Linked DNA regions of Nothobranchius furzeri. The protein of the gene in region 1 purifies or fractionates together with the protein of each later gene. This does not show direct contact. Links are inferred from orthologs where the notes say so. Each region holds a gene or a part of one and is shown in the gene's direction. Other genes may lie near its edges.

Region 1 (3,651 bases):
GTGAGTCCTCCATCAGATTTGTGCCTCTTCTAGTGTCATTTTAAAGGATTTTATTTATTTATTTATTTAACCGTTACTAGATTAGCAGCAACAGAAATGCTACTAAAAACACACAATTATGTGAAGCTGGAAAAATTAAAATGCTGTGCAAAATTACATTCATTTCTGTAATTTAACTAGACTGAGAGACCATTTAAAGGCCTGGGAACCTTTACAGGTGTTTCTATTTGCAATTTTAAATTTTAGCTGATTGGGGTCTTGTTAAATATCACACCGTGACCTTTTATTAGTCTAGATAAGTGTAATGTTCCTATTTGTAGTTCCTCCTGTTAAGTGCCTATTTAAATTATTCAGGTTTATAAAAAACATTTAGACATACATTTTATTATGTTCCAGTCATTAGTCATTTATATTTCACTATTGTAGCAATTTATAGTAAATTAAGTTCAATTAACCCATTTTTCTTGCATCCTTTAATGAAAAAAGTAACTAAGTAGTTATTTTTCTTGGTAATTAGTTACTTTTATAATCTCTTAACTCAGTAACTGAGTTACTTTTTTGACAAAGTAATTAGTAACTAAAACTAATTACTTTTTAAAAGTACCTTTCCTAACACTGGTTAATTGCATTTTAACTACAAACCTTTGAAATAACAAAACAAATATGTCTGTATAATCTTAGTACTGCACGTTTGATGTCAAATGAAAATGTCATTGCACATTAGTGGTTCTAGACATCTGAAATTAAAGCGTTGGCCTTTTTTATTTTTAGTAACTTCTTTATTCCCAGCTAATTTAATATCTTATTTTAATGCTTTGGTTGAGAAACAGTAACAGGAGGTTTTGACTTTTTAAGCACTGAGCTTGTAGGTATTTGTGCAGGAATGATGGGTTATCATGTTCTGCAGGAGTTTGCCAGCGCATGCTCTGCCAACACTGAGACAAGCAAGGTCGGCGGGTCGTTGGAGACCAAATACAAGTGGTCTGAGCATGGACTCACCTTCACAGAGAAATGGAACACGGACAACACTCTGGGGACGGAGATCACCGTTGAGGACCAGGTGATGTGGTGAAAATGGATTAGGAGTTTCCAAACAGTGATTTGTATTATAGTTTTTCTGTCTACACTGTGGCACATTCTCAGTTTTGGCTTCATTTCCTGTTTGTCCGACAGTTGACTAAAGGGCTGAAGCTTACGTTTGAGTCCTCTTTCTCTCCAAATACTGGGTAATGACTTTAGTCACAACTATTCTAACGGCGAATCCATCCTTTAAGTACATTATCATGAAGGGTTGAGTTATTATTTATTTATTTTTGTTCTTTTGTACCCCAAACATGCCACCAGCAAGAAAGGTGGCAAGTTCAAGACAGGCTACAAGTGTGAACACATCAACCTGGGCTGCGACGTCAACTATGACATTAACGGTACAGCCATTCACGGCGCTGGCGTGATATGCTACGAGGGCTGGCTCGCCGGTTACCAGACGACCTTTGAGGCCGGCAGGAACAAGATCACCCAGAGCAACTTTGCTGTTGGATACAAGACCGATGAGTTCCAGCTGCATACAAATGTGTAAGATGCAGCATGTTCAACCACCAGCACACGTGTGCACAATACATAATGCATTTTTAAACTGCATACAGGCTTTTCTATAACTTTGGTTTGAAGTTTCTCCTTGCTGCCCGTTCAGCTTTCTGTCAAATGCCAGGGTTTTTTACTCTTCATAGTGATGATAGGAGATAGAAGTGGTTTGCTGTGAAAGGACAGAGGGGTGTGGTGTCAGACAGGGAGCGGAACGGATTGGGGCTTGTTCCTGCTGTGCCCCCCAGGTAAAGCCTGTCAGTTACAGTCTGCAGCAGAAGCGGTAATGTGAGGTCAGACAAAGGTTAACGTAGGCTTTTCATGAGGCTGAACACTTCAGTTGGATGTGCCATCACTGATGGAAGCAGGACCGATATGCACATTCTAAGATTTTGGAGCTTCATATTAGGGATGTAAGAGAATATCGATATGGCAATATATCGTGATATTTTCCCAGCAATATTATATCGATATTCAAAAGCAGTGTATTGGAAATATCGATATGGCAATATATCGTGATATTTTTTCCTGCGATTATTACATCGATATTCAAAAGCCGTGTATCTAATTCCTGAAAGAATTTACATGCAAACATTTGTGTATTTTCTTTTCGTTTTGCGCAATTCAATCGCCAACTGCTAGTTGGCAGCAGTGTGCAGCGGGTTTTGTTTCCACCATTGAAATGTAAATCCCTCCATCATGGTTTAGATACCTCATGTTAAACATGTTACGTATCAGTTTGAACTGTTTATTGAACATTCTTACAATAAGTTCAGTAAAAATAATTGCTTGTAACGTTTGACTGAATGTATCGCAATATATCGTGATATATCGTATAATTTCCCCTGTATCGTGATATGTATCGTATCGCCAGAATTTCAAAAACACACATCCCTACTTCATATATATATTTTTTAAGCTTGCATGATCATTCCAAATAACATATCTGTATCATAATCTAATAACATTAGTCACAAACGGCTGTGTTTCACAGAAATGATGGCACAGAGTTTGGTGGTTCCATCTACCAGAAGGTGAATGAAAAGCTGGAGACAGCTGTGAACCTGGCCTGGACTGCTGGAAACAGCAACACCCGCTTTGGAATTGCTGCCAAGTATCAAATCGATCCCGATGCATCTTTCTCCGTGAGTAGCCTGTCTTTGAAGTGGCAGTAGCAATGGCGATGCAGTCCACCCCTAACCCTATTAACAAGTTGAATTAAAGTGCACCACAGTTTGTAGGTCTAGTGGTGTCTGGGTCCCATGCTGGGTGAGACGACTGTAAGCTTCAACTTCATTCAAGTAAAACAGCCCTTTGCTAATTTTGGCCTGTTCATCACATTAGTGGTAAATCCCCCTTGTAGCCAAGCCCATTAGTGTGACTGGTTGATTACTGGGGCCGTATTGGACTGACGTTGTATTCGTTTTTATCTGTTTACTGGTATTAATTCAAATTGCAACTAAATAATAGAAATTAATGAAAATATTTTAATAAATGTAGGAATTAGAGCTGTAGCTCTCTTAAAGCCTTTCACGTTTTAATCAAAGTTCTTTACAAACAGATGATTTTTTTAACTGTTTTGAAAGAAGATAAGAAGCTTTAGAATATATTTAATGTTGGCATTTACATAAAAAATCTGTTTTTAGCCCAAAACATTCTTTAAAAGAAGCTTTTAGGTGATAAATGTCATCACCATTGTGGAAAAACATAAAAAAAAATTGCCAGCAGTTCTCATGGAATAAAGTGTTGAAAGCCTGGTGTAGCATGATGTCAGAGGAAGCCCTTTGCTTGGTGACATCTATGGGATCCAGGCTTTAGGCCATCATGGCCTTCAGTAGATTCTCTACTTTAATGATCAATCTTTTCACAGGCTAAGGTGAACAACTCCAGCCTTGTGGGACTGGGCTACACTCAGACTCTGAAGCCAGGTGAGTTGGTCATTTAAAGACAATACGCCTAAATGCACTGAGTTCACACCGATCAATGTTTTATTGTAGGGATGCACCTATATGACAGTTTAGGCTACAATCATACTGATATTATTTCCAGTACCGGAAGTTGAGGGAAGAT
Region 2 (4,318 bases), on another chromosome or scaffold:
ACAGCGCACAAATACTATTCTAGTTTCATATCTATGTTCACAACAGCTTGAAATGGCTAACCTAGCTTAGCTCACACAGACGTTAGCGCCTGCTAACACAGAAATAAGGACAGTGTATGAATCTGGCTGTCAGACCTATAAAACGTTTGAAATGGTCAAAAATAATAGCTGTCTCATTATAACCGGAGTGCAAAGCGTGCAGGTTCAACTTTTACTTACTTCAGAGGAAAGATCGCCAGGACGCTGCGCCATCTTTTCCTGCCGTCTCCCGGGTTTGAATCCTTTTTCCAGTCAGACAACCACTCTGCCATCTAGTGGTCATTTCTTTTAACACATTAAGTTTTCATGGATCATAAACACATATATGTCTAAATAAACAATTTTACATTATTAAAAAGTAAATTTAGGTCTATATTTTATAACTACAGAATCCTGGGTTGTTGTAATTGTATATATGTGTGTGTCTATGGTGTGTGTGTATTTATATATATGTTTAATGTGTGCGTGTGCGTGTGCGTGTGTGTGTTATTTACATGAGTGCTCCAGCCTGCCGGCTTCATATACAATATATGTCCTAGAGCTGGTGAGCAGATTGATTATAAAAGCCAGCAACACAGGAGCTACAACCAGAGGAGTAGCCAACAGAGACTGTAAAACACCAAAATACAAAACATCATTTGGTCAATCCTCGTTCTCATTTAAAGAACCTCAGATCTGGAACAATCTACCATCAACAAAAAAACTGTGACACTTTACAACTTTTAACTCCCAGGCAAAAAAGTGGCTGAAACAAACTCAAACTTGTAAGCACTGATGTTTCTTAGTCAAACTAATTTATCTGCTTTGTGTGTGTGTGTGTGTGTGTGTGTGTGTGTGCGTGCGTGCGTGCGTGCGTGTGTGTGTGCGTGCGTGCGTGCGTGTGTGTGTGTGTGTGTGTGTGTGTGTGTGTGTGTGTGTGTGTGTGTGTGTGTGTGTGAGAGAGAGAGAGAGAGAGAGAGAGAGAGAGAGAGAGAGAGATGACAAATGTTATAAATGATGTTATTTTGATTATATCTAAAAGTCAAACCAAGGACTAGGTTTGCAAATTAGCCTCTGGCTAGAAAACCTCTGTACAAAGCAAAGCAACGGTTGCATTGCCATTACATGCAACAATTGTCTCTTGTGCTGTCCTTGTTCAAGAAAGCAAATAAATAAAATAAAGAATATTTTTGCATGGATTGAACCTATGCGTCAATAGATCAAAATGTACTTTTTTAAGACACAGCGAAATCTGTGCAATGACGACAGAGCCAGTAGTTAGCACTCTAATATTCATTTCCACATCTGTCATTGTAATGAAATACACCTTTGAGTTTTCGAGCTGAACATGAACGCATCATTCTGTAGCGTGGCGGGGGCGGACCGTATGACGTTGAGCCGAGACTCTTGCTGTTTATTGTTCCTTCCTGAGAACCGACACAGAAAAACAGGCTAACGAGCTGTCAGACACTCTTCTTAGACGGTTCGCACTTGGTTTTACGAAGGTGTAACGGTTGAGACAGCTGACTGCAAACCCTAGAGGCCATGGCGTATGCATATCTCTTCAAATACATCATCATCGGGGACACGGGTAAGCTGCAGTTAGCGTTTAGCTAGTATTTAGCTGCTAGCGGCGTATTTCCGCAGTGTTGGATAGTCCAATGACGTGGGAAAAGCAGAGACGCAAGGGGTGGGATGACAGCTCTAATTCTTCCCCAATAAGTTACCTGTTTACTTCAAAAATTCTCACTGGCGGTATCAGAACAGTAAAAGAGGAGTTCAGTCACGATTTTTCCCGTCCACACTATAATGTAGCCGTTGTGGACATACTGTTAGATGTTTTGGCCTTTTGTCCATTGACGTGTAGGGTGGGGGTGTTAGCCTCAGCTTGCTAACCAAACCAGTCAATGTCCACCCAACACCTGTCACGACATCAAATTAACATCCTAATCTGTGTCCATACATACAGGCCTCAAAAGCATGTTTGCGTTATAGAGCCACCCATCGTCAATAACACTGTTACCATTAGCTTAGCTTTAGGCCTAAAGCCTCGGATGTAGCCTGAAATGGCGTAGAAATCTCAGACTTGATCCAATGTCTCCTGTTAACACGACGTTTATATTTTACGAGGCTGTGTGAATTTGTAAGGTGTTGTTTCCTAAACATGTCCAGTGATTAAGAGATAATAGCCTCAATTCACTTTTACTAGGATGCTCTGATGAGGGGCCTGTTGAGTTAACTTGCGGGATGACAGCAGGTGCATTACAAATACCGCTGTTTTATTAAGATGTAGCATCATTGTCAGACTAGCTGACTGGTTTGATGGCAGTAAAGTAAAACAAAAGGGCTCAGGATCATTCACATCAAAGAAATTGGAGATATTCCGTCTAAAGCAGTCAATTTTACTTTTTAATATTTTATATTTTATATATATATATAATAGGGTCTCTAATGACCTTCTGACTCACGGTGATGCAGGGGACTGTTCTGTTCTGGTCCTGCTGGACCTGACTGCAGCCTTTGACACCGTTGACCATCACCTGCTAGTGGAGAGGCTGAGAGACTGGGTAGGCCTATCAGGAACTGCTCTGGAGTGGATCTCCTCTTATCTTTCTGAGCGCTCCTTTTCTGTGGCCGTCTCCAAGTTTAGGTCCTCCACCACCTCTCTTACCCATGGTGTCCCACAAGGTTCTGTGCTTGGGCCTCTGCTCTTCCTCCTCTATCTGCTTCCTCTTTAGCACATCCTGAGCTTCTTCAAAGGAGTCTCCTACCATCTTTATGCAGATGACATCCAACTGTACATCTCCTTTAAGTCCCATGAGATGTCTAAGCTGCAGCTGTTACACACCTGCTTAGACTCTATCAAAACCTGGATATGGGAGCTTTCTACAGCTGAATGAAGATAAGACTGAGATCCTCATCTGTGCCCCAGACAAGCTGGTTCCCAAAGTCAGAGACTCTTCCTTCTTCCATCTCAGGAACATTGCTAAGCTGAGTCCCATTCTGTCCCGATCTGAATTTGAGACAGTTATACACACCTTCATCTCCTCACGCTTAGACTTCTGTAACTCTATTTTCACGTGTCTGAGAAGAACCTCCCTCAACCGTCTGCAGGTGGTTCAGAATGCTTGTGCTCGGCTTCTGACCAAGTCCTCCAAACACACCCACATCACCCCGCTTCTCCTCCAGCTTCACTGGCTGCCAGTCAACTTCAGGGTTCATTTCAAGATCCTGGTTCTGGTCTATAGGGCCTTACATGGACAAGCACCATCGTACATTGGTGATATTCTTAGTCCCTACACCCCCAGCAGGTCCCTGAGGTCCAGTGATCAAAGCCTACTGGTTGTGCAGCGCACCAGGCTAAAGACCAAAGGTGACAGATCATTTGCTGCTGTGGCCCCAGACTCTGGAACTCTCTCCCCCTGAGCCTGAGATCAGTGGACTCAGTGGTCTCCTTTAAAAAGCAGCTGAAGACTCACTTGTTCAAGCTGGCTTTTGTATGACCTTCTTCACCACTCTCTCTTTATTCTGCTCTCCCCACCTATTCCACCTTCCTCAGGATCCACTGATTTCCCTCTTTCCTATTCACTCTCTCTCTTTACATTTTTTTAATCACAATTGTCTATTATTTGCTAATTTTAAATATATTTTTAACCATTTTCTAAATTCTTTTTTATATTTTTACATTTTTTGTTTTTGTGAAGCGCCTCGTGACTTTTATCTTGAGAGACGCTATAGAAATGATACTTTCTTTTTCTTCTTCTTTTTCAATGAGGGCACCGATTAGACCAGTGATTATGTAGAAAATAATAAAATTGTAAAAGTTATACATCTAGAGGGAAGATTTCTCTCCCTGCTTTCTCTCACACAAATGTAAAACCATTGTAGGTCATTAATTAACCCCTTTGGTGGGCTGCATATTTATTACAGGCATCTTGCAAAACAGGATCATGTTGGGGATGTTGTTTATTTCTAGTACTGAATGTTGTGTTGAGCTGTAGCCAGGCTCCTAGCTTGGTTACAAGTATGTTTGTGCCACATACTCTCAGTTCTTATTAGGAGTGTAACGGTACACTAAACTTGTATTCGGTTCAGTTCAGTGTTTTGAAGGGCTCGGCTTGATTAATTTTCGGTACATTATTATTAGATGTATTTATTTATTTAATATCTGAAGCTGCTCCTATAGTGAGCAGAACCAGGTGTCATCACAGGCTGCTAATCTAGCATGATGTATGTAATTATTTCACAGGTTATTTGCGCCACAGACATATATACATAGATGTCTCGTGGACTGACGCTG
Region 3 (4,364 bases), on another chromosome or scaffold:
AATAAATTTTTTTTACAAATGATAAACTGAAAAACTGTTAAATAAAAAGGAGGCTATGATATTCATTTGAAGGATATTCTCCAAATTATAGAAATTATCATGAAAATATGAACTATATTTTTAAAGTTGTCCGTCTGATTTTCAGTTCAGAGAATTTTATTTACAAATCCCAACTTCTTGGTCTCTTTTCCTCATTTCTGCCTGTTTTTACAGCATCTGTAACGGAGACAAAAATCCAGAAAGTGGACAGAGATCCTGTAAAATCCCAGATGCTTTCTGATCAGTGACGTTTTACCTTCTCTGCCGAGCCATTTGGTGAAGTCGGTGAGAGTTTCCCACTGCGTGGAGTTCATGTGGACATGCTCCCGGTGGCTGATGTACTCGTTGTAGACAATGTTGTTGTGAACTCTCTTGGTTCCTGATAACGAAGAGGACAATCAGAACAAAGATGTCCCTGACACATCTGCAGATGGTTCACAATTCTCACCGAAACGCCTTCTGAGCAGCTCCAAGAAGTCACGTTTGAACTCACTGTAAGAGAAGCGACACAAATGTGCTCCATTTTACTAAAAACATTCAGATGTGTTTGTCTTTACATCACGTCTGTGATAAACTGACTCTGAGAAGTAGTCCATGAACTTCATAGGGTTCTCTGAAGCTAGCAGCAGCTGTCTCTGATGGGACTCTGACATGCAGTGGCACTTGAAGCCATTCTGTTAAACAAATAAATAAAAAAGGCAGAAACAAATACTTTAATTCGTCCATTATCGAGAATAACACCATTTTTGTCGAATTTCATCAAAATCCCACCTCATCTCGACACTGTTTCTGACACATCTGACAATACCACCGCAACTTCTGGAGACCTTTAGATTTTATTCGGTTGCTAATGGCCTTCGGCGACAGAAAATCTGCTTTTCCCATGGCGAAAACTAAAACCAAACAACTGCAGCAAAAAACACTCGCTTAAAGGCTAAAAATTCGACAGAACAATCAACTGCTGCTAGTACACAACTGACAAACCGTTTCCGTCTTCTAACCTCGCGAAAAACCGTAGAATCACGCGATACTTGGTGTAACATTCAAGAACTGTTCGTAATTTTTAAATAATATTAATTACGTATATCATTTAAACTCGTTGTAACTGAAATTTGTATGATTAATTAATCGGATTCAATAGACGCCACATTTGAGTCACCAAAAAACAAGCATTTATTAATTCAATTTAAATTAATGTAAACTTTACAGGTTAATCAGTCTGAGACCAAGGATTAATTTCTACTAGACATTCCAAACATTTTTCTAGCATGGCAAGCTATCCTGTATATATGAATTTGGTCTAGTTCACTTGGCTAAACGTTTTCCTGTTTAAAAGGCAAATGACTTTCTATAACTGTTTGTGAAAATGAAATGAACATAGCTTTTTGATAATTATGTTCGCTTTTATTATTGAAGTTATTGAACTTCTCATTGTGCGACACTGGCAACAAAAAAAAAAACACACAAAAACAGTGATTTAAAAAAGGCTTCTTACGGCATTTCCCTTGAATTTTGATGTGAATACAATTTCCAGAGTTCACTGAAGGCAACCTCCGTTACCACCGACTTTTCTTTGCGCCTGCGCAGTTCTGCGTGTCTGACCTTCATAGTGGTAACATGTTCGCCAGGACCAGCGCGTTGGTTTTTTCCCCACAATGGTAACGCAAATATACCTCGACAACTGCTCTTGTTGCGCTTTTATTAATGAATTCATTGATTTGGCTTGTTTGAAGTGAGTGGGCAGCTTCTACGTTGTAACGCGGGCAATCTTTTGCGTGGAAGGACGTGCTAGCATGTAGGCCGCGGCTGATGAATGACGGCGGTGCGAATGGATTTCCATAGCCGGCTAGGTGCTAATGCTAGCATAGCTGCCTGTTTAATGTTAAATCGTGTTTAATTAACAGCAGTTAGCATCGGGTCATAACCCTAGACTTGTTAATGACCTTTTACCATGTTGTTAACCCGTCAGCGTCTGCTCACATGCATTATTGTTGTTTACAGTGGGCAGGTCAGGAACATGGCTACCTTGAAGGACAGTAAGTACTGATGAATACTTCACACTCACATCATATTGTTGTTTAAATTAAGACTGTAACCTGAGCAGAATCTAAGGTGTGTTTGTACAACACAGGTTTTAATAGGTTTTATCAAAATAGTGGGTTCAAGTCGAGTTAGTAAGACGTTCACACTTGATTTTATGCATATTGGGAGCTCAGATTAGTATATTTACAAAGGATTTAAAAAAAGAATTAAACATAAATGTGTCAAATATTAATTTTAGGGGTTCTATGATTTATGATACAGCTCCTTTTTATTTTTACATGCATAAATCAGTGTATATTAATGTGAATATAAATTATGGGATATTTTATTTTTATTACACTACAATTAATGCAGATGTCAATTAAAATGCACGGGCCTATCAAGGAACAGAACTAAATCAAAAGTCGTTTTCACATGCAGGAATTATTTAAGAATGCACGCAGGCATCAACTGATTTTCCACATTAGCAAAAGCTGGTCAGATACGGCTGCTATAAAAGCAGAGAAGAGCTGCTACCAGAACCTGCCGGTCCAGTCACGGAGTGAGTGTGCAAAACAAGGTTCTCCCATCAGGATTGAGTTTGGAGAAATTCTTAGACCCTATGCTGTAGAATCATAATAAAAATAATGGAGGTATGTTGTAGGGCTGCAACTAACGATTATTTTCATAATCGATTAATCTGTCGATTATTTTTTCGATTAATCGATTAATCGGTTTGTTATTGTTAAGCTATTTAACCTATACAAGTGATGAATACATTTCAGTTAAGAAAAAGAAAAACATAAGAGAATTGTGCAGTTGACTGCAATCTATTTTATTGCACATGACCACAGTCAGCAGTGTAAAATGAGCTAAACAGTGCAAAATATCAGTCCAGAATAATTTTTTGGCATCAAAATATAAGAGGTAAATTCCATAAAAAATAATGTAGAATCTGGAATAGAGTTTGTAAGTGGTATGCATTGCTGGGGGTGAGTGTCTTGTTCCCCATGTAGTTGTCCATCGTTGCTTGTTTTTTTTCTGCATAAGAAACACAAATAAACTGAATTAAGTACACATATAAAATAAAGCAGCACACACACTACAACACTAAATCAATATTACATTATTTGAATTAATTAACAATATACAGTGATCATTTATTTTGACAAAAATGTGTTGTGAGGCGTTTTACAGCGTTAGATAGTAAAACAGCCTTTTAATAGTTAAAAAAAGGACTTTCTGAATTTCTCCTGTATTTAAAAATTGAAAGCGTACAACTATGCCGCGTTATATTCACCTGGACACAGCTCGTCTGTATATTTTTCTCCGCGGAGTTGTCCTTTTTTGAATGAGGAACACAGTTATGGGTTTGTGCCGTTTTTCTCTTAACGAGAACATTCTTATAAACAGACGTGCTAAATTTGGCAAGCGCATGATTCACAACACGGAGGAGATTCACGATTGCATCTAGTCAATCAGAAGTAGAACACCGTAGACTGACGCGGCAAAAAAAAAAAAACATGTTTAACATCCACTATAACGAACTCAGCTAACACTAAGTCCCAAATGTGATCTGCGTTAGCTTGTTTATTTTCTGTTACTTACCGGACTTTCCTCTGCTGCATCAGCTCCCACATGTTTTCATCTCAAATGTTCACTTAGGGACGTCGTGCTTCCGTCGTGCCATGGTTTTTGCATATTTTGCAGGTCACCGGTCTTTTCAAGGCATCTAGTGAAGTGCTCCCATACTCGTGAGGTTTTTGTCCGGGGTTTCTCTTGTTTTGTCGCTTCTATTTTTCTTCCGTATTTGTTGTTGATCCGCCATCTCTCACAGCAAGATGCGCGTCAGTAACGTGATACGTCATGAAAACCGAGGGCACTTATTGGCTAATTTCTTCTTCTACGGCCCCACTGGTAGATCAGTGGCTCATTACTGCCACACACTGGCGGCAAATTTAACAGATTGTAACCGATGTCAGATTGTGGTAAAAAATAGACTTTATGCGGTAAAATATGATTATTAAACAACTAATCGATGACTAAAAAAGTTGTTAACTATTTTAATAATCGATTATAATCGATTAAATCGATTAGTTGTTTCAGCTCTAGTATGTTGTCAGATCCGATAATTAGTTTAAATCTGCGGAACTAGGAGTTATTTTATTGGTTGGAGACCATTATGTCGAGCAGAGATGCACCAACTGCAGCTTTAGACTTTTCTGCTGTAAACTCCTTCCTCATTTTCTTTAGTCACCATTCGGTTGAAGTCCATCAAGAACATCCAGAAGATCACGAAGTCC

What was found.
Region 2: the proteins of vdac1 (region 1) and rab2a purify together in Homo sapiens (affinity purification with mass spectrometry; 3 studies listed by BioGRID and IntAct, with this or other methods). This does not show direct contact. The link is inferred for Nothobranchius furzeri from reciprocal best matches to the Homo sapiens genes VDAC1 and RAB2A.
Region 3: the proteins of vdac1 (region 1) and atp5f1c fractionate together in Homo sapiens (co-fractionation; 3 studies listed by BioGRID, with this or other methods). This does not show direct contact. The link is inferred for Nothobranchius furzeri from reciprocal best matches to the Homo sapiens genes VDAC1 and ATP5F1C.

Annotation. Positions count from the first base shown.
Region 1 is NC_091750.1:59,851,105-59,854,755, reverse strand, and holds part of vdac1 (non-selective voltage-gated ion channel VDAC1), read left to right. Parts: intron 1-907; coding exon 908-1,060; intron 1,061-1,173; coding exon 1,174-1,226; intron 1,227-1,344; coding exon 1,345-1,572; intron 1,573-2,575; coding exon 2,576-2,726; intron 2,727-3,451; coding exon 3,452-3,509; intron 3,510-3,651. UniProt on the Homo sapiens protein: Non-selective voltage-gated ion channel that mediates the transport of anions and cations through the mitochondrion outer membrane and plasma membrane.
Region 2 is NC_091751.1:59,004,422-59,008,739, reverse strand, and holds the start of rab2a (ras-related protein Rab-2A), read left to right. Parts: upstream 1-1,390; 5' UTR 1,391-1,563; coding exon 1,564-1,609; intron 1,610-4,318.
Region 3 is NC_091741.1:35,930,766-35,935,129, forward strand, and holds the start of atp5f1c (ATP synthase subunit gamma, mitochondrial), read left to right. Parts: upstream 1-1,562; 5' UTR 1,563-1,656; coding exon 1,657-1,697; intron 1,698-2,040; coding exon 2,041-2,075; intron 2,076-2,872; exon of another isoform or gene 2,873-3,102; intron 3,103-3,669; exon of another isoform or gene 3,670-3,744; intron 3,745-4,314; coding exon 4,315-4,364. Other genes in the region: kin (DNA/RNA-binding protein KIN17), read right to left, coding at 296-418, 488-531, 619-713, 811-924.